Linked DNA regions of Lonchura striata. The protein of the gene in region 1 interacts with the protein of each later gene in a pairwise test. Links are inferred from orthologs where the notes say so. Each region holds a gene or a part of one and is shown in the gene's direction. Other genes may lie near its edges.

The links.
Region 2: the proteins of HMBOX1 (region 1) and ABITRAM interact in binary tests that used the Homo sapiens proteins (3 or more experiments, as listed by UniProt). The two-hybrid records come from large-scale screens. The link is inferred for Lonchura striata from reciprocal best matches to the Homo sapiens genes HMBOX1 and ABITRAM.
Region 3: the proteins of HMBOX1 (region 1) and AEBP2 interact in binary tests that used the Homo sapiens proteins (3 or more experiments, as listed by UniProt). The two-hybrid records come from large-scale screens. The link is inferred for Lonchura striata from reciprocal best matches to the Homo sapiens genes HMBOX1 and AEBP2.
Region 4: the proteins of HMBOX1 (region 1) and SH2D4A interact in binary tests that used the Homo sapiens proteins (3 or more experiments, as listed by UniProt). The two-hybrid records come from large-scale screens. The link is inferred for Lonchura striata from reciprocal best matches to the Homo sapiens genes HMBOX1 and SH2D4A.

Annotation. Positions count from the first base shown.
Region 1 is NC_134605.1:111,909,906-111,917,318, reverse strand, and holds the start of HMBOX1 (homeobox-containing protein 1), read left to right. Parts: upstream 1-4,398; 5' UTR 4,399-4,554; intron 4,555-4,630; exon of another isoform or gene 4,631-4,706; intron 4,707-5,926; exon of another isoform or gene 5,927-5,954; intron 5,955-7,413. Other genes in the region: INTS9 (integrator complex subunit 9), read right to left, coding at 3,921-3,929. UniProt on the Homo sapiens protein: Binds directly to 5'-TTAGGG-3' repeats in telomeric DNA. Associates with the telomerase complex at sites of active telomere processing and positively regulates telomere elongation.
Region 2 is NC_134603.1:61,640,026-61,647,547, forward strand, and holds the start of ABITRAM (protein Abitram), read left to right. Parts: upstream 1-4,515; 5' UTR 4,516-4,532; coding exon 4,533-4,587; intron 4,588-4,660; coding exon 4,661-4,712; intron 4,713-6,846; coding exon 6,847-6,976; intron 6,977-7,522. Other genes in the region: SLC39A6 (zinc transporter ZIP6), read left to right, coding at 276-466, 572-724. UniProt on the Homo sapiens protein: Actin-binding protein that regulates actin polymerization, filopodia dynamics and increases the branching of proximal dendrites of developing neurons.
Region 3 is NC_134607.1:8,163,395-8,170,580, reverse strand, and holds the start of AEBP2 (zinc finger protein AEBP2), read left to right. Parts: upstream 1-4,177; 5' UTR 4,178-4,204; coding exon 4,205-4,851; intron 4,852-7,186. UniProt on the Homo sapiens protein: Acts as an accessory subunit for the core Polycomb repressive complex 2 (PRC2), which mediates histone H3K27 (H3K27me3) trimethylation on chromatin leading to transcriptional repression of the affected target gene.
Region 4 is NC_134606.1:45,007,615-45,014,531, forward strand, and holds the start of SH2D4A (SH2 domain-containing protein 4A), read left to right. Parts: upstream 1-3,916; 5' UTR 3,917-4,250; intron 4,251-6,917. Other genes in the region: sulfotransferase 1 family member D1, read right to left, coding at 1-73, 173-299, 393-490, 595-720, 795-1,206. UniProt on the Homo sapiens protein: Inhibits estrogen-induced cell proliferation by competing with PLCG for binding to ESR1, blocking the effect of estrogen on PLCG and repressing estrogen-induced proliferation. May play a role in T-cell development and function.

The DNA of each region.
Region 1 (7,413 bases):
TCAATCTTGGAGGTCTTTGTCAACCTCAGTGATTCTGTGAACAGTTCATAAACTGCCTTTCCCCCCTTGTTTTTAAACACAGTTCCTTACACACCTAAATAAAATATAAATTCCCATGAATCTGTGTCCCACAGCTGTGTGTGTTCACTGAGATTTCCCCATGTCAGGGTATTAAGGAGCAGATTTTCTTCAGACAGTTTTTCTGATCCCAAGGGTTGAATGGATGGCAAAGCTCTTGCCTCTGATTTAGGACACATGCAGAATATCTTTTTTTCTTGCAATCACCTATTTCCCCAAAAACCCAGGAAATCAGCTTCTTACAAACTCAGCCCCCTGGGAAAACTTGGCTAGAAAATTTGAAAATTACTCGAGTGAGGTGGACAGGGAGACAGAGAAGCCCTGCAGGAACACAATATTTATTTTGGTAAGAAATCTGCCCCAACAACCCCTGCACAGGTGCAGCAGCTCTGGGGCAAGTTCTCACCTGCTTTTTGTCCTGCTAAACACAAACAGGAAACAGGAGGGACTGGGCAGCTCCACCTGAATGGAAGGGTTTGTGTATCCAAATCCCAAAGGCTTTGCAAGCTTAATGAGCCGGTGAGCAGGTGATGTAGGGGGCACTTGAGCATCATTGAGATGCAGCCACCTCCTGTCTGGAGTGACAAACATTTAAATGCTCTGAGGGAGAGCAGAACAGAAAGGTCGGCTTTAAAATGTGGGATTAGAGACAAATGTCTGAGCAGAGCGTGGCCACCTCTGCGGGAGGGTTCCTCTGCTCCGAGGAGGGATTTTGCATCTTCGGTCTCCCAAGTCTGGGCATCTGGCAGCACAGCCACGCTCAGGTGGTCAAACTGGAGCTTTTAACTTCAAGTTTTTGTCAATGAAGATGAAAAATACCGCTTGTTTGGCCGTACACTGCACTAAAAACAGACTAAGTAATTTATCCCTTAAGCTTGTGTTCTATACTTCCCTCTACCAAGTGGAAAAAGGGAGATTAATAATTTCATTTTCTACCTCTGGTCACAATAATGTTAACACAGGACTGCAACTGTCTGGATTAACAACCCTCAAGAAGTCTATTTACATACATTCCTCAAAAACCTGCTTTAAACTCTATTTAAATAGTAAAACTGACTAAGCCTCAAATATTAAATTCAAAATATCACAGAGAGTTTTGCTTTAAATTCACAAAGCCTTAATTATTAAGGAGTTACATTACATTTTGTCTTTTAGTAAAGTTTAAAAAAATATGTAAAGCCAAGCTGCTGAAGGAGTGAGGAATTCACTTGGTTTATTCACAAATGTAACACTCTCATGTGAAATTAAGTTCTCACCAGACCAGAACTTTGACAAATGAAGCTATAAATTGAAGTAAATAGAAAGAAATGAAGGGAAAAATAAGTTCTATTTTTGTAGCTTTTAAACTATTGGTAATTAAAAAAGGCAATGAAATATCACCACTTTTATCAGCAAAATATTTTCTTGCCTTTTTTTGTAATCATGAGTAGTATTACTACCCTGACATCTATGACCTAACTGGAAAATCTTTCTTTTTTCCTTCTTTAAAAGCAGCTAAAGTCATCTCTCTCCGTGGCTGTCTGCTGAGGCAAATGGATTCCTGGGAGTCAATGGATTCTTTCTACCAGATTCAAAGACAGTGACAGAAAAATAAAAAAGGCAATTTGTATTTTCTATACAGCTGTTTGCACAAGTGACATTGCTGGGCCTGCACCCCTGTTAGACTTTTGGATCAGGAATCCAGGAATGGAAGTGTTTGCACAATGTGTGTCTCTATACACATTATAAATGTGATAATTTCCACACAGTTTATACTTGTTACTATTTAAAACAGATCCAGAGCTTTCATATTCCTGACTGGATTAAAATGCAAGTTTTTTATTCCAAGATTTGCTTGCTTCTAGCTTGATTCCCTTATGGCTAAAGGCTGGTGCAGCCAACACACAAAGGTGCCTCATCTCCTAACTCCAAAAGTTAAAAAAAGACACAAAATACGTAAAAGGCATAAATATACCCAGCTCACAGCTTTCCTGGCAGGATTTGCAAATTGGATGAAAGTTTGGCAGTGGGGCAGTGGTTGAGGGGCTGGTTCCAGATGCTCAGGGCCTGGGAGGGGCAGGTTCTCCACACACATCCCATTCCATGTGCATCTCATGGAGAGCAGAGAGATGGTGGCTCAAACTTGCAGCTCCAAAACATTCAGAGTTGTGCAGGTTAAAGGCAGTGCTTGGAACTCCAAGTGAAGCAAACAAATCCTGCAGTGCATTCCTCCAGTATTAGTATCACATGCCAGCTTAAAATCTGGGGGGAAATGAGCACTGAGGATTGCCTGAGTGAAAGCACATTTGAGTTTGTGGGAGTCTGAGGTTTTCACCAGATTCTGAATCAGATCTGCAATCAGAATCCCAGAATGGTTTGGGTTAGAAGGGACCTTGAAGCTCATCTTATCCCAACCCCTCTGCCATGGACAGGGAACATTCCACTAGTCCCTCACCTCTACCCTGTTCTTCCAAATTCAACCCAAATCTATGAGAAAAGAGGATAAAGAGAGGATAAAAAAGAGGACTTGTCTCCTCACAACCCCAAATTCAGACACATCTCCAGAAAAATATAAGGTAAAATACCTTGTCTTATAATTCTCAGTACCTGAATTTAAAAACAATGCTAAAAATGTTGCAATACAGACTCCAGAGTTTGTATTTCCCCTCTCTACCCCTATGCAAGACTCTCAACATTAGAAGAGCTCTCCATTTACAGTGGGGTCTTTAAATAAAGATTTCCCAGTTTGCTTTCTTCCACTGAATTCTATCAGCCTCTACAATCACATCCAGGGGTGCTTGACTTTGCAGTTTTTGTCCCACTGGTAATAGCCATCCCTGCACAGATCCTTATCACACAGGTAAGATTAAGCAGGATCAAACTCCTTGACCACCTGCCTCTGGAATTAATTGTACACACTTCCACGGAGAGTGGTTTCCTAAAGGTCTTAAACCAGAACATTTACTTCTATGAAGCTTTGTTATAACACACTGCTCAGTCTCAAAACCAAGAGACAATCTTAAATTGAGTAATGGTGTCGCTTCAGATTAAATAAATCAAGTGTTGTGCTCAGGTATGTTGAAAACTGCTTGGGTTTTCACCTCCAGACCAAGAAGTGCAGCACATTATGTGTAACTGAAATTCTTCCTGGAAAAAAAATCGGCTCCTGAATCCAAGGTCTCCAAGAATGTGAAACAGCTCAAGAGAGGAGACCAATATCATGGGTCATGTACATTCTGACAGAAGACTGTAATATCAGAACCAAAACCCCTGTCAGAAGCAAGGTGCACCCTTAGCAAAGCTGTTCCAGGCTGATTTTTTTTGTTGTTGTCGTTAGTACCTCCCTGTATTATCACACTGCAGATGGAAAACGTCTTCATCACAAACCACAGGCATTTATTCACGTTCCTCGCAGAGTCCAGCAGAAGCCACACGTGCAAGGGGACAGCTCCGAACCAGACTCATGTTTAAGGCTGGGAAGGCTGAGAAACATTTTCTCCTCCTCTTACTAAGATTTGATCCTATCCAACACCTTAAACTTGGGCAACGCCCCCCCCCCCCCCTTACCCTCCCCACTCAGGGCCGACCCCCGCCTTCCCCCACACCTCAGGGCCGACCCCCGCCCCTCCCTCAGCCCCTCCCCGCCCCACTATCACCCCCTTATCCCTCAGTCCCCCCAACTCCCTCAGCATCTCCTCCCCCACCTTTTCCCTCAGGCCCCACTCCAGCGCCTCAGTTTCCCCTCACGCCCGGCGAGGCTGAGACTGCGCAGCCAGGAGGCGACCGGGGGAGCGCCCCCCCCGCCGCCGGGGGAAGGCCGAGCCCCCTCCCCGCCCTCATGGCCGCCCGCCCCGGGCACTCACCAGCTTCATCGCGTCCACCGGTTCTATTTACCGGGACAACCCTGCCCGCCTTCCTGCCCGCCCGCCCCGCCGGCCCCGGGGCATCATGGGAGTTGTAGTCCCGCCTCCCCATCGTTCTCAGATAACGTCATGGCCGCCCGACGCCTGCTGGGAGTTGTAGTCCGCCCCGAGCGCAGCCCCGCCGCCCCATTGGCGCGCCGCGCGCCCGCGGCTCTCTGGGAGTTGTAGTCCCGGCGCCGCGGGTCTCCCCGTCACCCTGGGGAGGGGGGAACTACAAGTCCCAGGGTCTCACAGCTGCAGCAGGTGGGGGCTCGGATGTTGATATCAACATGGCGCTTGTCAGACAGACAAAGACAGTCGGTCTGGTGTGATTGAGCCAAAAAAAAAAAAAAAAAAGCCCAAAAAAAAAGAGAGGGAGCGGGCGAGGAGGAGGGAGCGGCAGGAGGAGCGCCGGGCGGGGAGGGGGCTGTGTCCTCGGGGGGCGTGGGGGGGCTGAGGGATTTCCTCCCCCCTATTGTTCTCGTCCCTCCGCGCCCCCCGTTAATCTCCCCTCAATCTGGGGCGGGGGCGGGCGGGGGGACCCCCCCAGTTCCGCCGGTCCATGGTGAGGCGGAGGCGCCGGCAGCACCCAGAGGTGAGTGTCGCGGGGGGATACGGGGGGGGAGCGGCGGCGGCGGCGAGGGGAGGGGGCGGGCGGGTGGGTGGGCTGGAGGGAGGCAGGGCAGCGGGAAGGGGTCTCCCCTCCGCCCGCACCGCCGGGAGTCGCGCCGAGCCGGAGAGCGGGATGTGCGTGAGGGGGGCAGCCGGGGGCGGGCAGGGGTGGGCAGGGGCAGCCCCTCAGCACGGGCGGCAGAGTTGGAGCCGCGGCTTTTGGGGGGCTCCGCGGGTGCCCCGGATCGGGGGAGGAGGAGGAGGAGGAGGAAGGTGTCCCCAGGAGGCTGCAGCGGGAGGGCAGGGCGCCTTTGGGGTTCGCTGCTCCTGCCATTTGTATATCTATTCCGATTCCTCCCATCTCCCCGGTGTGGGGCACGGAGTGGCGGCCGCGGAGCCCCCTCAGCCTGGGTGGGTGCTGCGGTTTTGGGGGTGTTTGTTCGGGTGTTGCTCGCCGCGGAGTTTTGGGGTGAGCTGGTGCGACCCCCGGCGCTGTCTGTCCCGGGGACCCCCGGGGACGGCAGGGGAAGGAGGGAGGCTCCGATCGGGGATGGAGCCGGCTACGGAGCCCCCTCGCTCTGCCGGGGAGCTCTGCCCTGGCTGGGGCTGTTCGAGGGCTCCGGGGGCTCCTTTTCGGCTGCTTTTCGGGAGCTTTGTGCCGCTGGAGGTCGGGGAACGGGGCTCAGAGGTGCCCCAAACCCTGCCGTTCCCAGGCTTCGGGAGGTTTTCTGGGAGGGCAAAGGCGTGAAACCCCCGAAAGGTGTCTGTGTGCCGGAGAGTTTAACGTGGGAACGGGTGGGGGAGGAGGAGCACCCGGAGGAAAGTCATTCCCAAAATGTGCGAGGAGAACTTGGGTGGGGTGTCAGACGCTTGTTTGTTTTGTACTTCTTGGGAAGAGGTGGGGAACGGGGGTGGCGGGTGAATGGTTTTGTGTCCCGTGTCCGGGATGGTTTTGGGTCAGCACGGTTTGACCGCAGGAGCGGTCGGGGGGAAGCGGCAGGAAATTCTGCTGGAGTGTTTGCCTCAGCTTCGGGGTTAAAACAAAACAAGATGCGAGTATGTTTAGGTGCCGAATACACACCCGAGCCAGACCCCGCCGAGTTCCTCGACCTCAGTTTTGTCTGATGGGTTCTTTCCTTTCTTTCTTCTTTTTCCTTTCATTTTTTTTTTTTTCCCTAGTTGGTGGAGTGCCTCTTGGTATGTTTGCAGAGCACTCCTTCGGAATCATTTTGTTCTTTGAGATAGGTCTGGAAAAGCCTCGGTTGGACGTGCTGTTTTTTCCCCCAGTTCTTTCGTGTTAGGGACAAAAAAAAAATGCTGTTTGGGGGGTGGGGAAGGAAGAAGGAAGAGGAAATGAAGGTTTAAGCATGTTTGTGGAGTCGGGTCTGTCTCAGTTCAGGTAACTCTGGGAGTGTGATTCGATGGCTTTTAAGTACAAAACGTTTATGAACAAAAAACCGGGGAGATTTAAACTTTGTAGGGAGGAAAGCGTTAAAGTGATGGCCAGGGAACGCGGATCTGGGAGACGCTACTTACGTCCCCTGCTTCTAACTAGTGGAGATAGAGGGAATGAAAAACTAAAACACTGGGGAAAAATACCCCTGCAATTTGTATAAATGATGCCATGTAAAATACCGGAGCTAGGAATTGTGCTCTGCAGACAATTGTTGGGCTGGTGAAAGCCTGAAGTGCCTGCTCTGGTCCCGTGATATGACTCGCTCATTTCTGCAGGGCTCATCAGGTACAGGCTCTGCTTCCTTCCTGGGATGGTGCAGCTGGCATTTGATTTCCTCCGTGGATGGGAAAGGAGGAGTCCTGTGCAGTTTTTTTTTCCCCGAGATGATTGCATTTTCTTTGGCCTTGCTGTACCCTGCCTCATTAGTAGGAACTGCATCTATACTTATTTACCATTATACCGTGTCCCTTGGGAAGCAGGGTGTAGTTTGGAGTAGGTATATATGGATTTATCACTCCTAATATTTTTTTTCCTCCCATCGTGCTAAGACCAAATCCGTCAACAGCAGAGAACAAACTTAATTTATTTCTGTGTTTCGCATCTCCCTTTTTACCATTTCTCTTCCAAATTGCTAAGAAAACATCTCTGAGATGGAGACGGGGGAGAGGGAGGAAAGGGATGGAAAACGTCTGTGCAGGGATGCATTTGTTATTTGCATGTCTGGGAAAGAGCAGGGTTTGTTTCTGTATGTGAAAACTGGGGTTTGGGAATGTTTTTTCCCTTATGTGAGGATTATTCTTTTAGCCCTGTGATGGCCACAACTTTTTCTGTCTGGTTGAAAGAATTACCCGAGGAGCCTGGGAAGGAGGCTGGGAGCAAGGAACTTGTGTTTCACTCCGTGCTGCCTGTTCTTCCTCCCCTCGTTCCCTCAGCACCAGTGCAAGCACCAGAACAGGCATCAGCATTTTTACTCCTGTGTCATCCCACTGTTCCCAGCAGGTCTAGACGACGTTGTGGTATGCAGGCTGCCAGCTGGGTTACAGGAATGCTATCCTAGGTGAAACAGCAGGATTTTTAAGGAGGGGTAAGGAAACCTGGGAGAAAATCTTGTGTGAATGAGGCCTGGTTTTCTCTACAACTGCTTCACTGAGCGGTGTCAAGAAACTCCGTGGGTTTATTGACCTTTCTGGACAACATGCATCTCTCTAGCATTGTGATTCTGATAATTCCATGGAGTCTGTAGCTGCTGTCAGCTGCAGGGAGCTTATTTTTAAGGCAGTTTCTGTGTGGGTCTTACTGATCTCTTACAAAGGGATATTAAAAGTTGATAGCTGTGCAGTGTTTTGAAAATTAAATTATTATAAAGTGTTTACTTTATAGTGATGA
Region 2 (7,522 bases), on another chromosome or scaffold:
CAAGTCGGTGATTCAGCAAAAAGCTTCTTCTTTCAAAAATGCAAAGACTTAAATGTTACAAACTTACAGTATCTGCTGCTGTGTTGTTCATGTGCACCCTTTAAGTTTCTGTCCCTCAGTGATTTCTGATTTTATGAAGGAAAAAAAAATAAGTCAAACAACAGCATAAAAGTAGTTTAGTAATCCTGTAAGTAAGAGAACTGTAAATAAGACAACACTGCAGTACTTACCCAAGAATGAAAACTTCATTTTGTTTCTTTTTTCCCCTGTTACAGGAGATTTTGCTGTCCTTCTAAAAGCTGGTATGACTGTGAAGCAAGCTGTGCTTTATAACGCTCTGTCAGCTATGCTGGCCTATCTTGGTATGGCCACTGGGATCCTTATTGGCCATTATGCAGACAACGTTTCAATGTGGATATTTGCACTTACTGCTGGCTTGTTCATGTATGTGGCTCTTGTGGATATGGTAAGTGCCTAGACCTATTTGAATTTTGTAAGACACAGCTTAAGAATTAATGATTTGAAGCAACTGTTTCTTTTGAAGGCATTTAACACCTTTTTGTTTTTTTAGGTACCTGAAATGCTCCACAATGATGCCAGTGACCATGGATGTAGCCGGTGGGGATACTTCCTGTTACAGAATGCTGGGATTCTCCTGGGTTTTGGGATAATGCTGCTTATCTCAGTATTTGAACATAAGATTGTATTCAGCATAAATTTGTAATCCTGGTTGCCAGGAAGACACCTTGGTGTTAAATTATAAGTGGTAGGGGTTTTTTTTTCTACAAATTTCCTTATTGGAAAGGTACATTTGATATAGGCTAGATATTTTTGTTGGTGTGCTTTGTTGTTGTGTACTTCCCTCCCTTCTTGCCTGATAGAAAGGAATACCGTAAAGTTTGGGGTTTGTTGGGGTTTTGTTTGTTTTTAATTGTGTTTTTTCTACTTGGGATTTAGCATTGCTTATGGTACTTGAAAAGTGGTACTTAGTAAAACATGGCCAAATCTGTATTATTTTTATTGTCTATTGTTTGGGGGTTTAGGTTTGTTTTTTTACTGAATTTATTTACTGTATGTAATTATAAGTGATGTTTTTGACTTCAGTGGTTTTGCTGGTTTAAAGAGGTAAAACAACAGTGGTTTTTATTTTAGCACAATTAAAATCAGTGGATACAAAACACAGTGAGCAAAGTAAAACAAGAACAAGACATATAATGGTTAGCATGTGTTTATTGGTAAAAACTCGTCTCTTCTGCATCCAGCTGGTGTATCCGGGATGGCAGATAAGTTCATTCTGTCCTTTGTGGTGGTGCTGGTTCTCTCAGTAGCTTGTGGATTCCTATGTCATATTCCAGTTGGTTTCTGCGCCAAACTAATTGATGTAAAACCAAGTGTTACATCATATGTTTCACTTGTTTCATCCATTCTAAAAGGAGTTGCTCTTCACTGGTTTCTCAAATCCGTAACAAAAGTCCAGCTCCTAAATTGCTAAAGCTTTAAGATATGTGAATTCCATCAAAAAGACTTTAAAAGCAGTGCTGTATCCCACTTACACTGCCTGAAGTGACAAAGGTGTATTAAAGCCTCTTTGATATCAAGGGGGAGGAGTGCTACAGGCTGAGATAAACAGTCATTTCCTACAAAAGCTTCCTGAAGTAAAGTGTTGATTTACTTCGGGAAAGTGAGCTGAGTGGGAGAGCTGCCTACTTCTAGTTCAGTGTGATTGCACACAAACCTGTGCAATATTTTTTGCAGGAACTAAAGCCGAGAAATCCAAAATAAGGAAATTTCTTTGGTAGCATGTCTAGAGAAGCAAGGTGTTAAAGATAATAAGTGTATACTTAAGTATGTAGTTTAAGCCTACAGTCTTAATATGTTTAACCATCCTGAATGTCACTGAAGGAGGAAGGTTGAAAAAACCAATGGCAAAATAAATTCTGCATTTGCAGGGAAGGTGAACATGTCAAAGTTGTTTAATGGTGAATAAATAACAGAATTATGCTATCTTACTAGCTAGCTTTAAAAATCCCAGAAATAAAACGATTAGAACCTATTTCTGATCCACTGCTCCAAATCATCAGCTGAATAAAAAACTTAAACAACAAGAGAAATGTTTGATAATACTGTGTATGACAGGCTAAAACAGTTTGTTGGTCTCTCATACAATGAAAGCCAAGAACCATTCTGTCACCTCAGAAATAGATATTTTCAATTAATTGAGAGGTTTTAGGGTCTTTTAAGAGTTGAGAAATCAGTACCACATGAATTTTTGCAGCCAATGGACTATTACCTTTTCCTCCTCCTTCAGTCTTTCCTCAGGTTAGCAAGATTGATACTTACTTTTCTGCTCACAGTGATGAAATCCTGTTCTGTGCCTCCTTTGAAGCTAGGGCTTGAGAAAGGTGTACTTCCTTCAGCTCTCCAAATGCATCCCTGTGTCCTAGCGGGCTTTTTAGGGCTTAGGCATGGTGTTTACCTGTGGTGTGGGAAAACTCCATAAATACAGTGCACTTCATCCACTTTCTGCACTGCAATCCTGGCTGCTACAGAAATCTGTTGTCCTGGGGGATTTCAGACTTGAACGAGCTCAGTTTGCTTTGAATTTTTCACTGTTGGTTTCTGTTAGCCTACAGCCATAATAGCTGCCAGTTCAGCTGGATTTCTCTTATCTGGATATGTCACAGGAAGTGTGCAGGTAACCTACTGTTCTAGAGATTTTATGATTAATGACTAAATGATGGAGAAAAATCTACAAATTTCAGTGTTTCCAGTGGATTCTTAGCTGGCGTTTGATGTACTTGACTGACATTAAAATATCCACATATCAAAACCCATTGCTAATTTAAGAATCAAAATAATTATTTGCTTTTAGAGCATGTGGGCATTAATGTCTCTACCCTATACACAAGCATATGTCACCCATGCATTGTTCTTTAATCATTGATGGAGAAACATCCATGACAGGCAGCTGTCCAAACTGATAACTGAGAAGGTGGCAGACTAAAACTTGATGTAGTTTTGTATCAGCAGGATGATAAAATGTAGGTTATTATTTTTTTGTGTTTTGAGTTGGTTGGTTTTGTTGTTGTTTGTCTTTGTTGGCCTTACAAAGTAGAGTATGCGTCTGTTGCAAACTACTGTTGTTGGAAATACTCAAGGTTTGGCAAACTGGTGGGGCAGAGCCTCTAAGTAGCCCTTTATTTTTATGTGCATATTTTTCTGCAGCAGTTTTTAATGTGCTTGGCTACACTGGATACTAAATGCAAGTGTCTGTGTATCCATCTGTAGCTTAATAATGGTACAGACCTTAATTTTTATGCTGTTACAGCTGCCTTATTGCTTGTGCTAGATGCGGGTAAACAGAATAGGCAAACAATGCTGGAATCAATCTTGGTTTGGGTTTTTTTCTGTAACATATTCTTCTAATGGTTTTGGCCTGTATTTGTACAGAAGAGGTGTCGTGTTACTTTGGGCAGCAGGAGTCAAAGGTGTGGAGGTTCTCCAGGTTCTCCCCTGCCTGGCCTGTGGGGATCAGGTGCTGGTACAGTTTCTGTGCATCCTTTGTGCCTAAATGTGATGCCATGTGTGTTGTGGGAATACAGCTCTTTTATGTTTATATAAAGCACAGCCCAGGCTGTGAATTCAAAGGCTGGAAGAGAATTCACGGAGGCTCTCCTGCTGCCTGAACTGAGACACCACTGCAGTTAAAATCTCTGTGGAAAAACAGGGTCGTTCTGTTTTCCATGAGCAGAAAACAAAAAGATGTTTTAATGGAATGTGGATTGTTTTTCTTGGTTGTTTGGGTTTTTTTTAATTTAAAGTACGTTTTTGGTGTGTGTCTATATGGTTGCTGTAGCTGTTACTGTATTGCTGTGTGCTAGAGAAAATAAACCACTGAACCAAGCCGCCGGCGTCTGAGCGTTTTTCTCAGTGATGCAGGTACGGTGAAATATGTAAGAGCCTCGAGAGAAAAGAAAGAAGAACAAAACCAGGTAGTGCCAAGAGGTCGAACTGCTCTGCTCAGGGTTTCCCGTGCGGGGCGGGGCGGGCGCCGCCGGGGCGGGGCGGGCCGGGCGCCGCCGGGGCGGGGCGGGCGCTGCCGGGGCGGGGCGGGCGCCGCCGGGGCGGGGCGGGCGCTGCCGGGGCGGGGCGGGCCGGGCGCCGCCGGGGCGGGGCGGGGCGGGCGCCGCCGGGGCGGGGCGGGGCGGGCGCCGCCGGGGCGGGCCGGGCGCTGCCGGGGCGGGGCCGCCGCTGCCGGGGCGGGGCGGGGCGGGGCCGGGCGCTGCCGGGCGCCGCCGGGGCGGGGCGGGGCGGGCGCCGCCGGGGCGGGGCGGGCCGGGCGCCGTCGGGGCGGGGCGGGGCGGGCGCTGCCGGGGCGGGCCGGGCGCCGCCGGGGCGGGGCGGGCCGGGCGCCGCCGGGGCGGGGCGGGCGCCGCCGGGGCGGGGCCGCCGCTGCCGGGGCGGGGCGGGCGCCGCCGGGGCCGCCCCCGCCGTCATCTTGGCGCGCCGGGGCGGGCGGCGCCGGGCCGGGCATGGCTGCGGGGCCGGGCGGCGCCGAGCGGTACTTCACCCGCTGGTACAAGCCAGGTACCGCCGGGCCGGGCCGGGCCGGGCCGGGGTGGCGGCGGGGCCCTGACTCCTCTCTGTGCCCTTCTTGCAGACGTGAAGGGGCGGCCGTGCGAGGACTTCTGCGTGCTGCAGCACTCCAACAGGCGAGTGGCGGCGGCTGCCGAGTCGGGCTGCGCCCGGAGAGAGCCGCGGTGGCTGCGGCAGCCGGGACACGAGAGGGTTGGCCTGGGACACAGCACCGGGCAAATCGGCCTCCCCGTCCTTTCATTACTGCTCCAGTGAGAAGCAGGAGCCTTGGCCTCTTCCCCCCGCCGGCCCCCACACCCCCCGTACTGCCCAGCAGTGTCCGCGGTGCTGCCCTCGCTCCCTTGCTCCCTCCTGCGAAAGGGCCCCGTACACCATCCCTGGGGGTGTTCATGGAAACACTGGACGTGGTGCTCAGTGCCGTGCTGTACTTGGCACGGTGGTGTTCGGTCGTCGGCTGGACTTTTCTAACCTAATTGATTCTGTGATCATCAGTAGCAGAAGAGAAACGTTCCAAAAGGCCTTTCCCTAATGACATTTTGAAGGAGTCTGTTTAACTTGATTTAGAAATCCTTCAGTTTGAACAAACGTTCATCTTTTTCTAGATAAAACTTAATTGCTTTTTCTTGTGCAGTAACCGACAGTGAAGGCAAGATAGGAAAAGTGTCTTGCTTTTGCTTGGATGTAGCTGGATATCAGTAAATATGAGTAAATCAACCTGTACCTGATGTGGAATCTCCTTCCATACCTTACCTCCCCCTGCTGCAGCCCATTAGGGCATCGGGTGCATTTCTGGAGTGCTCAGTCTCAGAGAGAACAGAACCTAACTACTGTCCATGCAAAAACTAGCAGGGCCAGTGGCTCATGGGTTGAGGAAAGGTGAGGCAGTATTTGTGTTCCCAGTGAGTTGCCGGCTCTAGGAATTTAGAGTAAAAGGAAGGTATGCGTGGCACAGGGCAGAACCATCACCTCACTGCAGCCTTTGGAGTTGGAGCTTCTCTGTGGCTGTTTCCTGCAGTTCTTCCTCAGTTCTTCCAAAAGGGAAATTAGTGTACCTTCAAATAACAGGTGTGACAGTAACAGCAAGGTAGGACATCCTTCCATTTGTACTGAATACTAAATATAAGGTTACTAATCTCGGGTGTCTGGTATAAACAGTAGTTTAAATCCCACTGATTTGTTCAATTGTCTGTGAAGACTGTTCTGCTACTTTGAATTCTGAAATATCAGGACCCTTGGGTTCCACAGCAGCTTAGCCAGTTCTGTAAAGTATTTTACCATTATTATGTGTGGGGCTGTGGCTCTGTTTGCTGTTCCTAGGCAGTGTGAAGTTGTCTCTTGATGTTTTGTTTTACGAGGTCTCAGCTTCATCAGGTGACAGCTCAAAGATAATTTGTCATCTTCCTCTTAGAAGGAGGCTGGGGTGAAGGAAGTAGCTTTGCTGCTAGGACATGCTGGATACGTTCTCCAGGATCCAGCTCCCTCTTGTGGGAGCTCTGCAGCCAGAACTCCCCAGGAGTGTGAGGAGATGGATACAGCATCCACAGGGAGCGATCTGGTTCTGTGCCCTGGTTTTCTCTGCAGTCACTCTTCTTTTGATTCTGGTGCTTCCTGTAGGTTTTATACTCTCAAACAGAAGAGCTTCCACTCTCTTAATTTACTGGCAAGTTCATGCTTGTGCATTAGGCATGGTTCTAGGCCAGGCAGGCCTAGTCTCTTCAGCTGGGCTCATCTCAAACTGTCCCATGTCATGGTAAGAAATAACCTCCTTTAATAAAAAATTAAGTGCAAGCAGCAAGTTAACTAAGGCCCAGGTCATGGAAAGATTACTCAGCTGTTCACCACAAAGGGCTTTTAGCTGTTGAGAAACCCTGTTTTCTGTTACATTTTGTGACAGAAGTACACCATGCTTTTCTTGTCTTATCCCAAGTACCTACTTCAGCTACTGGCTGAAATGAACCAACCATGCTCTCATGGGGTATAACAGATGGCTTACAGCACTGGCTTATTTAAAAGCAGTGGTTTTGTTTCAGTAAGAAGTGTAGGGCTTTTGACAGTCCAGTCCAGTATCTCAAAATGAAACATTTTCCATGGGAGTGGCTTTAGGACAGAATGCCATTTTTGTTCAGTTTGGTAGGGCAGGTGTCAAGTAAGATAGGCAGAGAAGGTTGTGGGACTTGCTTAGAGCACAAAGCTGTGGCTTACAACTACAGTGGAATAATTGTGGTGTTCTGTTGTTTTTTTTTTTTTCAGAATCTGTGTCATCACCTTAGCAGAAGCCCACCCTCTTCTTCAAAGTGGGAAAACAATTAAAAACATTAATTACCAAATCAGTGCAAACTGTAGCAGACTTCAGAATAAGGTCTCTGGAAAGTCAAAAAGGGTATGGCTTTTTGATTTCCTTAGTTTTGATTTTAATCTCTCACACTCCCTGAGATCTTTCTGTCTTTTCTTGGATAGAAACCCAGCAGGTTACTTTTGTATTTCATTTAAAACCAGCCCCTCTGCACTTGAAGAATTTAGACTTCCTCAAGAGGTGCCTGTCTGCCTGTCCCAGCAAGGGTCTTGCAGTGCTCCTACAGCACTGGTGGTTTCCAATGCTGTTCAAACACACTTTTTTGGTAGTGTACAGAGGGACATAAACATCCCTGAAATAATAAAAACTTATTTCCAAGAAGATGTAAAGGATTTGGAGACTAGATATAGATGGGCCAGTTCAGTGTGGTGGGTTTTTGAAGGTACACTTTAAGTAAGCAAACACCAAAATGAAAGGTGCTGTTCCTCTCCTCTCTCCTCTGACTTCAGTCTCATAAGAACACAAGTTTGCTAGTCTGCAAGAAATTAATTAAATCTAAATCTGTAAGCTTGTAACAAGCTTTTATTTGATTTGTGCACATAACTAAGTTGGCATCTTCCCTTCTATAGGGAA
Region 3 (7,186 bases), on another chromosome or scaffold:
CTGCTCACTGGAAGCAATGACAGATGGCAGCCTCTTCCTCCAGACCTTGAACTGGGATGGAGAAGGGTGGGGCAGAAAGGAGGGAAGGGTGCAGTTTCCAGAGGCTGCTGAGTAGGCAGAATACTGAGCAAGGTGAGTCATGAGGTGCAGGCAGCAGGAATTTCCTGCACCGCTTAAGAGGTGCATGGGGAGGCAGGGGTTGGAGAAGGGAGCTCAGGGAGCAAATGCTGGGCTTTACAGAATCTCTCCTGGTATCCTAGCAAGTGTAAGACTGGATGGCACCTTTCCTGTACCTCAGGTCTATTTAATTTTTCTTCTCTCTATATAGGCCTTTCTTGCTGTTTTGAAGTGTTTTTCTTGCATACTCTATGACATAGTACTATAATGCTGATCAAAGTTAGGGAAAAAAACCTCAAGAAACCTGCCTTACATACATCTTCTGGTGATCTCACCTAAGTGTCCTTCAAGAAAACCTCACAAAACAGCAAGATTGCTGTGAATCAAGAAAAGAAGAAACTACTTCTCTGGAGTGTTTTTGTTACTGATCCCGCTGTCAGTGTGAATGCCCTGCACCCTGGTGCTCCTGAGGTAAGAGAATAAAATCTTCATTTCTTCTCCCTGCTCTGCTGTGTCTACAAGTTGTTTGTTCTTGAACTAATCGTCCTGCTTGGAATCTTTTGCCTGCGAACAAGCTTCTCCTGGTTTATCTGCCGGCTTTTAAAAATGTATTTTATTATTTTGTACTTTGTTGATTCCTCAAATGTCAGGCACAAATGTCTGAGCTTTAAAGCACCGTTGTAAGGTGATCATACCAAGCTAGACTGAGCACATCAGAGACCCTTTGTGTGAACGACAGTGTAACATCCACCCAAGTGAATGATGTGGTTTTTTCTCCAAAGGATTTCCTAACAGGAGTCTCCTCCTTTGAGCTTTTATCACAGCATTCAAATGTAAATGATTTAGCTGCTTTTGCAAGTTGTGGAATCACCTGTTCTCTGACAGATCTCTTTCAAGAGGTTTGAAAAGTCAAAAAACCTTGGGGGGAAAAAAAGAAATCTAGCTTTGGTAAGCTGTGTGGGTTTGTACCGAGAAAGCTCAGTGAGCAATAATCACTGCTGCTTGCACTTGATTAGGACTTTATTGCAGCACTCAAGAGACGACCTGGACGCAGAATTTTGTGTGTTTGAAAACCTGAGAGCAGGATACTGAGAGATTACTACGGAGTTTTTCTTTGATGCCTGCCTGCTGCAGCAGTGACCCCGTTGGTACTGAGCGCTTGCTTAAATGCCAAGTGATTTCCATCAGGCAATAGAAATGTCCCGAGGTTTCCTTCCCTGACCCTCTTTGAATACACAAATTACCTAACGAGCTGGCGTCTGTACCGCCCCGCTTAGGAGAGCGGAAAGTGGTAGGTCGAATCACCCTGCTCGCTTTCAGTGCCAAACACAGGGAGCCTTTGCGTGCACACAGCACCTCAGGAAACCCAGAGAGACCTGGGAGGGAAGGAAAAAAAAAAGACATTGATTGCCTTGAGCACTCAGCGGAGCCGATCAGGACGATTGACATTAGGGTACATGGAGTTGTGATAACTTTTCTCCCCTTTATCTCATATTCATCGTTTGTGAAAGGCGTCTTTTACGAAGTCCTTGATATATTTTTGGTTTCTCATGACTCGATACCTCCCTGATTCTGTCCCTTGCTGCAGCACAGAACTGCAGAAGGGCATCAGCGGTACTAGAGACATAAGAATTATTTCAGCTACTGCCGTTTCTGGGCTGAATCAGAGGCTGGGGTGTTTTTGAAACGTCACGCTCCGTGTTTGATTAGACCAGTGAGTAACTGCAACACCCACCCGGAGCCCCACGCCTTCCTCCGCGGAGAGCAAAGCACAGCACACGCTGTTACCCGGAGGAAAGGCAGAACAGGGTGCAGAAACTCAGGGTTTGGTGGCTATTTTGCTGCAGTTAGGAGACCTGCAATACACATCTTACACAGATGAGAAACAGCATTGCAGCTGTTGCTTTTGTCTCCCCCCCGCCGTGGTTTTTTTTTTTTGTTTTTGTTTTTTTTTAAACATTCTTAGTATTTCCACTTTCTAGCTGAGGTTGACTTCTAGAAATCTGAGGAATTATCATCACTTTTTCATTGTGGTTGGTTTCCAAAATTTGCTTATGCTCCTCTGCAGGCAAAATATGTTCTTGGTTTGTTTTCAAAGATTAATCCAGTGTTGAGTCCCCAACCCCCTGTTGCTGTTTCAGTGCTGTGCCTCTCTCTTTTGGCTGCTACACCACAGCTTGTTCTTGTTGCTGCTCACAGCTACATCTGTTGATGGGCTGGGAGCCATCTCCATCTATGTAAATGCAGGTTTTCAGAGCACCTTCTCCAGATTTTAATCCTACGCAGTTAACTCTCCTGGAATCCAGGATCTCTGTGGCCATGCCAGGTGTGCCTGCTGTAACTTGAGCTGGTGATCTTCCTCATGTGCAGAAGGCACAATGCTTTTCTGGACTGAGCTGTGGGTCTTTGTTTTTAAACTTAACGACCACGGCTTCATGATTTTTGTGTTAAATGTGGCAAGCTCTGTAAGCATTGGGTAAGGACTGACAGACGCAAGATATTTAAAATTCACATGGAACAGAATTTTATTACCTTTGGCTAATTTACCTGTGATTGAATAGGTGTGAGAGATATTGGTAATATTGGTATGAGAGATTCTCATCTCTCCAATAACTTGTCAAACTACCTGATTATATCTCTGTGTTCAGATTCTACCTTTCTGCTCTACTGCCAATCCCCATCCTATGTACTTTATACTTTATAGTAAACTTGATCCCATTTTACATGATCATTAAATGACCTTAATTTTCAAACTGTTCTGAAGCCCTCTGTGTGATTGACAGTCATCCTGCTGAGATTTCCCCTTTCCCGTTTTATACATCCATAGGTTTAGATTGGGTATTAGGGAGAAATTCTGCTGTGTGAGGATGGTGAGGTCCTAGCAGAGGTTGCCCAGAGAAGCCCCATCCCTGGAAGTGTCCAAGGTGAGGTTGGAAGGGGCTCTGAACAACCTGGTCTGGTGGAAGGTGTCCCTGGGCAGGGCTTTGGAATGAGAAGATCCTTCCAATCCAAACCATCTTGTGATACTTCAGAGTCCCCTTTGGTCACACAGCTTCTCCCCGGGAGCCGGGAAGCCTTTTCCCTGCCAAGGGAGGTTTCAGGCCAGTTCTGGTTCATTCTCGCTGCACAGCGCGGTGTTTCCCACTCCTTTCTGCCAGTGGCGCTGAAACCCTTTCCCCGTCTCCTTCCTGGCTCTGCCGAGCCGTGCCGGGGCACTCCTGCCCGGCTGGCTCCTCAGCGCGCCGCAGCTCTTCCCGAGGAACCTCGGCTCCCCCGTTCCGGGCGCTCCGTGTCCCGCTTACCCCCGCGGAGACCGTGAGGGGACCCGCAGTGCCCGTGAGGGGACCCGCAGTGCCCGTGAGGGGACCCGCAGTGCCCGTGAGGGGCCCGCAGTGCCCGTGAGGGGCCCGCAGTGCCCGTGAGGGGCCCGCAGTGCCCGGTGCCACCGGATCGCTGCCGCCCCGCCCTCCGCCGCGGCCACCCTGCTCCGGCTCCGCTCCTTCTGCAGCGCCAGCCGGGAATGTCCCTGCCCGGCTCTGGGGTGCTGCTGCTAGCGCCGGGGTTTGTCCCGGAGCGAGGCGGGGCAACCGCGAGCGCTTCGCTCCCGGCTCCCGGCCCGTCCCGCGGCACTCCCCCGCTGTCCATGGAGTCCGGGGACTGGGATCGCGCCATTCCAGCAAGTCGCCGGGATGCCCGGGGGTTTCGAACGGGATTCCCGGCAGACTCCAGCGGGGATCCCTGGGGGATTCACGCTGGCATCCCCGGCAGACTCCAGACGGGATCCCGCAGCGCGCCCGCCACCGCCCCTTCGCACCGGGGGCGGCGGTGGCCGCCGCCGCTCCGCCCTCCGCGCGTTGTTTGTCCCCCGGCGCGCTCCGTAGCGCGTGCGGCGGCGGCGGCACGAGCCGGGCCCCGCCCCTCCCCGGCGGTGCGGGTGCGCGAGGAGGGCGAAGGAAGGAGGGGGGGAGGAAGCGGCGGCGGGAGCGTGCGGCGGGCGCGCGGGCGCGCACGGGGCCGCGCGCGCACGCCCCCGCCGCGCGCACGCCCGCGGCCGGCCCCGCGCGCGCGGCAGCGACTCGCAGGCGCCATGGCGGCCGCTCGCTGCAGCGACATGGCGGAGCCCCAGCGGCGCCTTCCCGGGCAGGCGGCGCCCGCCGAGGAGGAGGAGGAGGCGGAGGTGGCGGCGGCGGCGGCGGAGGTGGAGGCCGCCGGTGGGGCTGGATCCTCCTCGTCGTCGCCGCCGCCGGCACCGCCTTCGGCCGCGGCGGAGCCGGAGCCGCTGCTCCTGCTGAACGGCGAGGCGGAGAGCATGTCGGAGCCGAGCCCGGAGAGCGCCAGCCAGGCCGGGGACGGGGAGGACGAGGACGAGGAGGAGGAAGAGGAGGAGGAGGAGGGCGGTGAGGAGGAGGAGAGCAGCCTGGTGGGCAGCAGCAGCAGCACGAGCAGTGGCTGCTGCAGCGACGAGACCCGCTCGCCGAGCCCCGGCGGCGGCAGCGAGGCCGACGCCAAGGAGGAGCCCAAGGGCCCCCGGGGCAGCCAGGAGGACGGGCCGGGCCGCGGCGGGGGCGGCAGCAGCTCCAGCAGCGTGTCCAGCGGCGGCGACGAGGGATACGGCACCGGCCCCGGCACGGGCGGCGGCAGCAGCTGCGGCAGCGCCACGTCGGGGGGCCGGCGGGGCAGCCTGGAGATGTCCTCGGACGGGGAGCCCCTCAGCCGCATGGACTCGGAGGACAGGTCAGTGGCCGGCCGCGTCTCCGCCTCGGCAGCCCCCGCTGCCCGGGCGCCGCCCCGCTCCCGGCCGCGGGGCTGTCACGGCAGCCACAGGTTTCTCCGGCCAACTTGTGCCGGACCCCCGCCCATGCTCCTCGGGCCTCCCCGGTTGCCCGGCCCTGGCCGCGGAGGAGGGGGCGCGCCCCGGCCATCGCCGCCGCTCCCCGAGAGCCCCGAGCGACCCCGCCGGGCGCTGCCTCCTCCTCGGCTTCCTCCGGGGCCTCTTGGCTCGGAAGCTGCGGATTTTTCTCAGATAGTGCTTTCGGGGTTCTTCAAGGCTGTGTCTTGCGGCAGCGCGCAGATGGGGTGTACTGGAGCTTCGGGATGGGAAATGCATTTCTGGATACGGTTTTACCTGCGCCCACAGCAGGGTCTCTGCTCTAGAGGGAGAAAACCGAGTGATGAAAGCCTCTTAAAACATAAGGGAAAAAAAACAAAAACGAGTTTACTCGGGAGACCAGCCTTTCCTGCATTACGTGTGCGCAAGTAATAGTCATGCACGGTGTGAAGTGAGGTTCAGTATTTGGAGGCTCAGAGTCATCTTTGAATGAGTTCTGTAATTCTGAATTTCAGAATCTGTAAGGATGAGTTCTTAAGCTGTTGTACGTTAAAGCTGCACATTTCATTTTACCAAGATTCTAGCTGGGTTCTGGTGAAAAGGCACAACCGAATTCTCACACATGGTTGAATTCTACCATTCAGATCTGTTTCAGCCTACTGAGTCAAGCATTTCAAAGAACATGGCTTATGTAGTAGCTCTCCTCGATGTTGGATGCAACAGTTTACTTGAAAAACTGAAAATATGGTGGAAAAAGGACATAAAAACAGTGTGAAAGTGCTGTGTGCCCCTTGCTAATTAGTCCTTTCAAATAGTTTAAGAAACTTGCACAATTTTTCCTTGTGTTTAGCAGAAAAAGTATCAGACTTCCCTGCTGGAGTTCCAGTTAAGTAACAATTAGAATTTTATTTGTATTTTCTTAAGGTAGTTTTGCTGTTAAGTTTGGAGAATTACGTGGTTTGGTCCAGAAATGGACTTTGAATATATGTTAGATCAAAATCTTTGTAACTATACAAGTACCCGTATTTCAGCATGACTAGACCTAACCTCGAAGATTAAAACCAGCCCAGCAAACTCCTCGTGAGTCAGTTCCCCAAAACCATGTAATTGGCCTAAAAATCTTAAGAAGACAGAAAAAAAATTCAGGTCTTTGGTTTCCATCAGACTTTTGAGACTCATAGAAATCACGTTTTCTTTCTTCTTAACTTACGCGAGTGGAAGGGGGGTGCGGATGTTTGGGCTTGTTTGTAGGGTTTGTTCGTTTACTGTTTTTTTCAGAAGCTGAGATTTTATGTGCAATTGACTAAGTATGGGTGTAGATTTCTCGAAAATCACCAGGTGCATAAAGGAACACTAAGATAACAGTTTCTTATTTTTCATAGAGTGGAAGTCCAAATCTAATCCTGATTTTATCCAAGTGCCTGTCGGGGTTGAGGAAATAACAGAAGTAACTTGCAGGGGTTTTCTGGAAGTAGCGTCATTATGCCCTGTGCCCTCCAGAGCTGGTTGCTACTTTCTTTCTCTGTCATTGTTCTCGTGGTCCTCTTGCTGTACGTGGTTAAATCCACGTCTGTGGGTCCTTGCTCCTTCCCTTTACCACCAGGAGTGGGACTCTTTGTTTTTAGTGGTTTAAATAAGGACTGTGCCTTGTTTTCAATCTTTGCAAAGTTTTATCTTGACCTGACAGGGTGAAAACTTGGGGTGTTGAGAGTGCATTTTGTACTGTAATTCCAGGGCCTGAAAGCAATGCTACCGAGAGTGACATTTGTTATTCCTGGGGTTGGAAAATTTTGTTTGGTGTGTACTGCTTGCTGCAGCATGTTAGAATGCTTTATTATTTTTGTGACATGTAGTCCAGCAAGTTGCTTGCTTGATATTGTGGTCCAAATGATTGCTGCTGCTTGGAAGGCAGCCACAGCAAAATCCTGTGCCTTTCAGATGATCACACAGACAAGCAGAGTGTTGCAAAAGGTAGGAGATGTGCTGAAGAGTTAGAGTGTGTAAACTGGAATATTGAAACACCGAGGAAGAGCTGGAAACAGTTCAGATTTAATATATTGAAATCCTGAAAGAATAAATAATTCGTTGTTTTGGTCACCTCTGAATTAAAATGTAAGTTCTGTGACTATTAGAAAACCATATTTTGTCTATTAAGTGTTATTTTATATGGGGTAGTTTATTAAGTACAGTACTTCATGACCTTTGCTGACTCCCTGTGTCTCCAAAGTCCTGAGGAGCTTG
Region 4 (6,917 bases), on another chromosome or scaffold:
AGGTAGAGTATCTTCTTCTCCCGCTTCTTCTCCCACCATCCACGCACGTGGTCATACCAGGATCCGTAGGGCACTGTGGGATATGGTCAAGGGATTAGCTGAAAAGAGGGGTAGCGGGGGATGTCCTTCCCACTGGCATGGCAGGGTGGGCATGCTGTGGCTCAGCTCACACCTTTGCCGGCCATGAAGTTCTCCAAGAACTCAGCCTTTGTGCCAGGGTCGTGGTGTATCTTGGCCATCTGGTGGAAGTAGTAGTACGAGATGACAACATCCTTGGGGTTGCGGGCCATGTAGATAATCTGGAGAGAGCCAAGGATGTGTTTGGGAGGTACAGAGTAGTGCCTCCTTCCCACCAACCCAGATGGGGAGACAGGGAGCACCTGCCATGTTACCTTGCAGTCCTTCTCCCAGAAGGAGGTTGGGAGGAGCTGGACTGGGAGATGGGTCTTTACCAGCCGCGGGGATGGGGTGTTCTCCAGCTGATCAACACCTGTGGCACAGGGGACTTAGATGTTTGAGCCCCAGCACCCGCACCCTCATGCTGGCTCAGTTCCCTCTCTACCCAAGCCAGGCAGCCAGGCTGGGGAAGCTCACCACACAGACTCTTGGAGACCTTCAACTCCAAGAAGGGCACACGGTTGTAGATGGCATCCCGTCGGCACTTCTCCACATCGCCATTGTGGTAGATCATGTCCATGATCTCGCTCAGCCACGTTGTGCCTGCCACAGAGGGACAGCATTGCAGAGGCTGGTGTCACCCCATGCCCCTGGCACCCTTCCCCAGGACCACTCACCTGATTTGGGGTAAGTGGAGATGAGCAGGTCATCTGGACGTGCTTGGAAAGCCTTCACCTGAGGCCAGCCCTCGATGAAGCTCTTGTAGAGGGGAATGCCATGAAGGCTTCCCAGCTCCTGCCTGATTGCATCTTCCTGCTCCATGGCTGACAGTGGGTCTACACAGCACTGGCTGTCTTCCCTGCTGGTAGCCTTCACAACCTCTGAACTGGCTGGCACCTGTGCCAGGACTGTGCCTGGAGTAGTACTGGATCCTGTGCCAAGACTGTGCTTGGGGCAGTGCCCCATCAGGCGAAGTCCAGCCCAAATCACATGTGACAGAGGTATTGCCAGAGCCACGGGAGTGTGCCCTGATCCCTGGTAGGATACTTTGGTAATGTGGATGCTGGCTATGCACCAAGCCCAAGCCATGAGGGGCTGGGAATGGAGCCCAGCATCACCTCTCCTCCCACATGGCTGAACTTCTCCCCCAGCTATAGCCCCTTTAATGAGTGCCACGGGGTTGTGGAGGTACAGAGACAGCTCTTCCACCCAGGGCCCCCATTGCAGGCAGCCATACCTCTCAGGATTCCATGTGCTCTGGTGGCCATGAGCCCTGGCACCTCCACCCTCCTGCCACACCCAAGCTGTAAAGGTTAATGAGAGATGGCTCAGCTACGGAGCACAGCTATGGACCTGGCTGAGGGTGCTGCTAGCAAGGGTAGCCCCCCTCTCTGCCCTCCTGAGTGCTCCTTTGATGCCTCTTGTAGGAAAGGGATGAATAAGCTGATCTGCTCCATCCTGGATGATCTGATCCAGCAGGTTGTACAGTACAGGAACCCACCATGATGGAGCAGGTGCTGCTTTTGCTCCAGGAGATCGAGGAGAAGCAGAAGCCAAGTGGTGCCTGGCCCAGGCAGATGGGGTCTCTGGGAAAGGAGGCACCAGTGCGGGACAGAGCATCTGGACCATCTGCAGAAATACAGACTCACTACTCTGGCCTTCTGTATCCAATGAGGAAGATGGAAGAGAGTAAACGTGTCTGTTACCCTGACAAAAAAATACATGCAACATTTTCATCTGATGATGAGGAAATAACATCATGATCTTTACTTAAAATTGAAATACAGATGATGGACAGGGTTGGCAAACTGCTACCAAAACGGTGCTATATATGGTGGCCAAAGTTCCAGGAAAAGTCTGGCAGACTTACATGGGATGGAAACATACAGGGCAATCCCCAAAACAGAGAACTGGGAAAAGATGATTCTTTACCTCCTTCAACTTCCCCTGAATCTGCTAGACCTCATGGTGGAGAGGACAATCACACACAAGTAACTATCCCATTTGATCCAATTCAGGTGGTTGATTTGCAAGAGAATTTTGGCCATAAACTAGGTGATACTGAAATCCAGCAACTGGAATCCTATCAGTGCAGATACAATAATGGCTCATACATTCAGATTCCAGCTGACTCTCATCAACAATTAATTGCTAGCACCATTGAAATGCTCCAGGATAACATCTCTTTGGCTCTTGGTTGTATTCAAGCTAGTTGTGGGTGACAGCTGCCATCACATGGGAAGGTGAAGACAGTGCTCCCTTCCCCTTAAGGGTGGGATGCCACAGTGGGCTGCAATGCCCCCACAGCTCCAGCACACAGTGAGATCCCCCGACACAGCCAGAAACCTATCATGGCTGAAGCCCCGTGCCCAGCACCCCTCCTCAAGTGCTCCAGCTTTACAAGTGCAGTTACAAGGGAAAGCACTTTGGGGTCTGGACCTGTGACAGGTGGATTTATGGGGATGGCTATTAGCTCTCCCATTATGCTGTTTGGGGGATAAATGGATCAAAACCCTGCTCTTAGCTGGCTCATTGCTCTTTATTCCTGAACTATGTTTCTCATCCATCCCAGTGGGGCTTGGTGACCATCTCAGATCCCTCCCTTGTTTCTCATCCCTCAAAAATATCTGGGGGTGGTAGGCAGGAATGCTATCTGTAGCCCAGCGGGATGCTTTGATAACCAGCTCTCAGTCCACTGCCCGGAGGAAACGTTCATTGAGAAAAAGGATCTGCCCATGGGGCAGGACACGGTCCAGGAGGCCATCAGCGGCATCTGGACGGAGCAGGACATCAGCGCCAGGGCCAAGGAGGCGCAGGGAGAGGAGCAGGCGGGGAGCCAGGCGCCGCAGGGTGATCTCAGCCAACGACAGATTCTCCTGAGGTTCACAAACCAAGGCGAAGGCAAGGGCCAGCACCGATAACCAGACTACTGTCACCCGCTCAGGGAATGGGTCTCCAGGGGGCATCTGGAAAAGACCCCCTGGAGCATCTTGGAGTGACATCGGCTCATCGGGTAGCTGGGGAAGTTGTGGGGAGGACGGGCGCTCCAAGGATGACTGAAGCAGTTGACACTGGGAGGCCACTTGCCTGGAAGAGAAACGGGGGACCCTCGTGTTAAGGACCCCCACCTCATCCCGGGACAGTGACCTCTCTGTTGGGGGAACAGTGTCCCAGGATCCCCAGAAAGGGAGGATCCCATGAATGGGGGAGTGGGGGGCATGGTCCTGGGGTTCTCGCCGAGCCCTGTCCCCCGAAAGGGGGGCTGCCACACGCTCTCCTCAGGAATGGAAGGTGTCCCACAGTCAAGAGGTGTCCCAGCCCTGGGGCCAGGCAAAGCCCAAGAGCCCGCCCATCAAACAAAGGGCGTATCACGGCTGCGGGGATCCCAGGGACACGGACGGCACACGGTGGCGGTGTCGCACCGCGCCCAGCCACCCCGGAAGGAGATTCCCGCGGGGGGGATGTCCCGGCGTACCTGGCCACGGCCAGCGGCTGCTGCTTGCGGCGGAGGCGCTGCGGGGCCGCGGGGCCGGTGCCGGCGGGTCCCGAAGGAGCGCGCGGACAGCACGCGGCAGGGGGCGGGGCCACCGGCGCCAGCGGCGCCAGGCGCGCACCGTGGCGGCCCCGCGCGCCGGAAGCGGCGGCGCCGCCTCGGACGGAGCGGCCCTGGCGGCGGGGCGGGGCACCGGGGCGGGGTGCGGGCCGCGCGTCGCGATTGGCCAAGGCTGGCGGGCAGCGAGAGCTGATTGGCGGGCGGAGGGCGGTGGGCGGGGAAAGGGCGCGGGGCTCGGCCGAGGCGGGGGCGCTGCCCCGGCGCGTCCCCCCGGGAGCCGTGGCCTTGTCCCTCCCTGCTCCTGCTCCCGTCCCGGGATGGCTGCGTGCGAGATGGGCTGGACACGCCTGGGGGAGGACGTGTGGCCCCCGGTGGCTCAGGGTGATATGGCCAGGGCCAGCATGGAAAGGTGCTTGTCTGGAGTGGGGCATACGGAGAAGTGTGACTGGCACAGGGGACATGGAAGCGCCTGTGGCCAGAGGGCCGTGGAGTGGGACATGTTTGGGTGGAGACGTGAGACTCTTCCATGAGACCTTTCCAGCCATGGAAAACTTGTTTTCTGCCTCAAGTGATTTCAGCGGTAAAAATGTTTTTTGACAAATTCCTTATGGCTGTGGCTGGTTAATCCATGGGTTGAAGGTGGGGGTGGGAGGGTGTTTCTGCCATGTTCGGGGCATGTTTGGGAATGTGATATCCCAGCTATGGTGTCATATTCAAACTACTGTGTCCTTATTTCAGCTATAATGTTACATTCAAACTACAGTGTCCTTATTCTAGCTCCGGTATCCATGCCAGGCATGGTGTCCGAAAGGAATAAGACAAATGTGTCTTTAGAAACAGACCTCAATCTGCTTGTAGATAGAGCTAGGAACTTACAGATAGGGAAGTAACAGAAGAAACTATTAGTTCTAAAAAATGTTACTAATCAACACGGAATGTTGCTTAGCCAAGGCCATGTTAAATTCCTGAACCTAGAGAAAAGGAACAAAGACTTAATACCTTTACTTCTTTATTTTACATAACAAAAGGGGCCTGCGTATCAGAGGGGGGCATAGAGGAGGCAATTTGGGAAGTCTGTACCTTCCAAGTAACTCAGCCATCGGGAAGGAGGAAGAGGGTGATGCGGCCAGGAACTTAGGACAAAAAGGGGGCTGAGTCCCCCAACAATCTGGGAGACCCGATGGGAAATTGCCATGGGCCTCTCCCTCTATTCAAATAAAGCCACGCGACTCCTCTGTCCCTCTTTTGGACACAAGCCTCTGACATCGTGGATTCACGTTCCTAACGGCGTCCCTCGCGGAGCTGTCTCCCAGGAGTGGGTGTGCAGCGTTGTCCTCTCGCAGCCTTGCTGCAGCGCACGGCCAGAGCCGCGGCTCGCTGCCGCCGCCGGGGCTGCGCTGCTGCGCCGCGCCCGCCAGGCGGCGCCCGGCGCGGGGCAGTGCGCGGCGCGGGCGCGGAGCCTCTGAGGGGCCGCGCCTGCGGAGGAGCTGCGCGGAGCTGGCGGCTGCCGCTCCTTCGGGATTCCAGCTCGGGACAGGCTCTCTTTAGTTTCTGCTGCACCTCATTTGCAGCTCCAGGTGGTTTGTTTCTGTCCCCAGTTGGTCTCAGGTTCAGCTCATAGTATTTGTTCGTGCCTCCAGCATGTTTTAGGCTCCAATTTGGTTCACTTTCCCCGGCTTCTTTCCGGCTTCAGCTTATTTGCAGCTCCCGTTTGTTTCCGTGTTTGGTTGTGGCTCCAGTTCATTTCTGCTCCGGCTCGTTACTGCTTGTGCTTTTTCAAATGATCTTGGTTTTTGACAGGGCCACAAATCAATCACTATCGTAACTTAAATATGAAAAGACATAATTGTACGTTGTCTAAAGATGGACTAAACTTCTTGGACCAATGCAACTGGACCTTCAGCCTCCAGTGGGATTCCCCACAGGTGCCCCAGTACTGGATCCCACTGTCAGGAAAATCCACAAACGACAGAAGTTTATGTCGATACAGGAGAGACAGAGGAGTCCTGCAACTTTATTTGAATAAAGGGAGAGAGGCCCTCACACAAGCTCGCGGGGTTTTCTCGCTCAAGGTTTCGGAGGGCACAGCATCCGTCCTCAACTCCCAGCTGCAGGTTGCCCTCTTCCTTTCTCCATTGGCTGAGGTACTCGGAAGGTACAGCCTTCCCAAACTGCCTACCACATATTCCCCCTTGTACCTACCATTTTTCCCCAAAGTTGAGAAATTGAGGTTTGTACAGACCCACTTGTTTGTTTCAGGAGCTAAGCTGTCTGGTCTCTGCAACAAACCTGCTGCCCAAAGTTAGTACAGACATTAAGACCCGTTTCAAATATGTTAATACCAGTACTGTCACTCATCAAATTGTAAAGACATTAGCTTTCCTCTTACCACCTTGATGAATAATGGGAGTGAAGTTCCAAACAAGGTAAAGAACAAAGTGGTTAAGCAATGAAAGCAACAGTCACAGGAATGTGGAAGAGAGAAAATTTATGACCTAAGTTCTTGAACGGGGAAAACACAGAAAGATAACACTCTTCTAGTCCAGAATGTGTAATGATGAACTAAAAAAATCCCCAGTTTTGACTGGTTCTGTACTGTGAACTTGCCCTAGGGATGAACTTTTGCTCCTTATAATAGTAAAAACCACACCCCAGCTCAGGCATCTCCCCCTACAAAAAGACCACCATGCGCCAGTAACAACTTAAGCCAAGTAGTAACTTAAGTAAGACTTAATAGCCCAAGATTGTGCCTCGGGGTGCTGCCTCTGGGATTTACCACCCAGCACCTGTTTCTGTGCAGAACAGTAAATCAAATTATATGGTTAGAGAAATCTCATTTTTTACACTGACTGAGTTTGGTTGAGTATCTGATCCTGTGAGTTAACCTAGAGAAGCTCTCACCCTTTTCACCACACTGTTAATTCTCTCAGTGATTTTGATACAGGGAGATGATCCAATAAATGTTTGCACATTATTCTAGCAGGGAAGATACATTTTCCTTGAAAATAGAGCCCTGCAGTCTCAGACTGTGTTCAGTGGCTGTTGCTAAATCAAATTATTTTTCCTTCTTGTCATTACCACCCATTCTTACCTGCTACAAGATAACTGCTGCCCCCTCCAGCAATATCAGGGACCTATAGGGCAAGTCAGTTCAGCTATAGGTAATTTCAAAGTAGTTTATGCTGTGGTGACTTCATTGGTTTTGTTCTTTAAGCATTATATGCTAGCCTTACGCAGAATCCAGTAC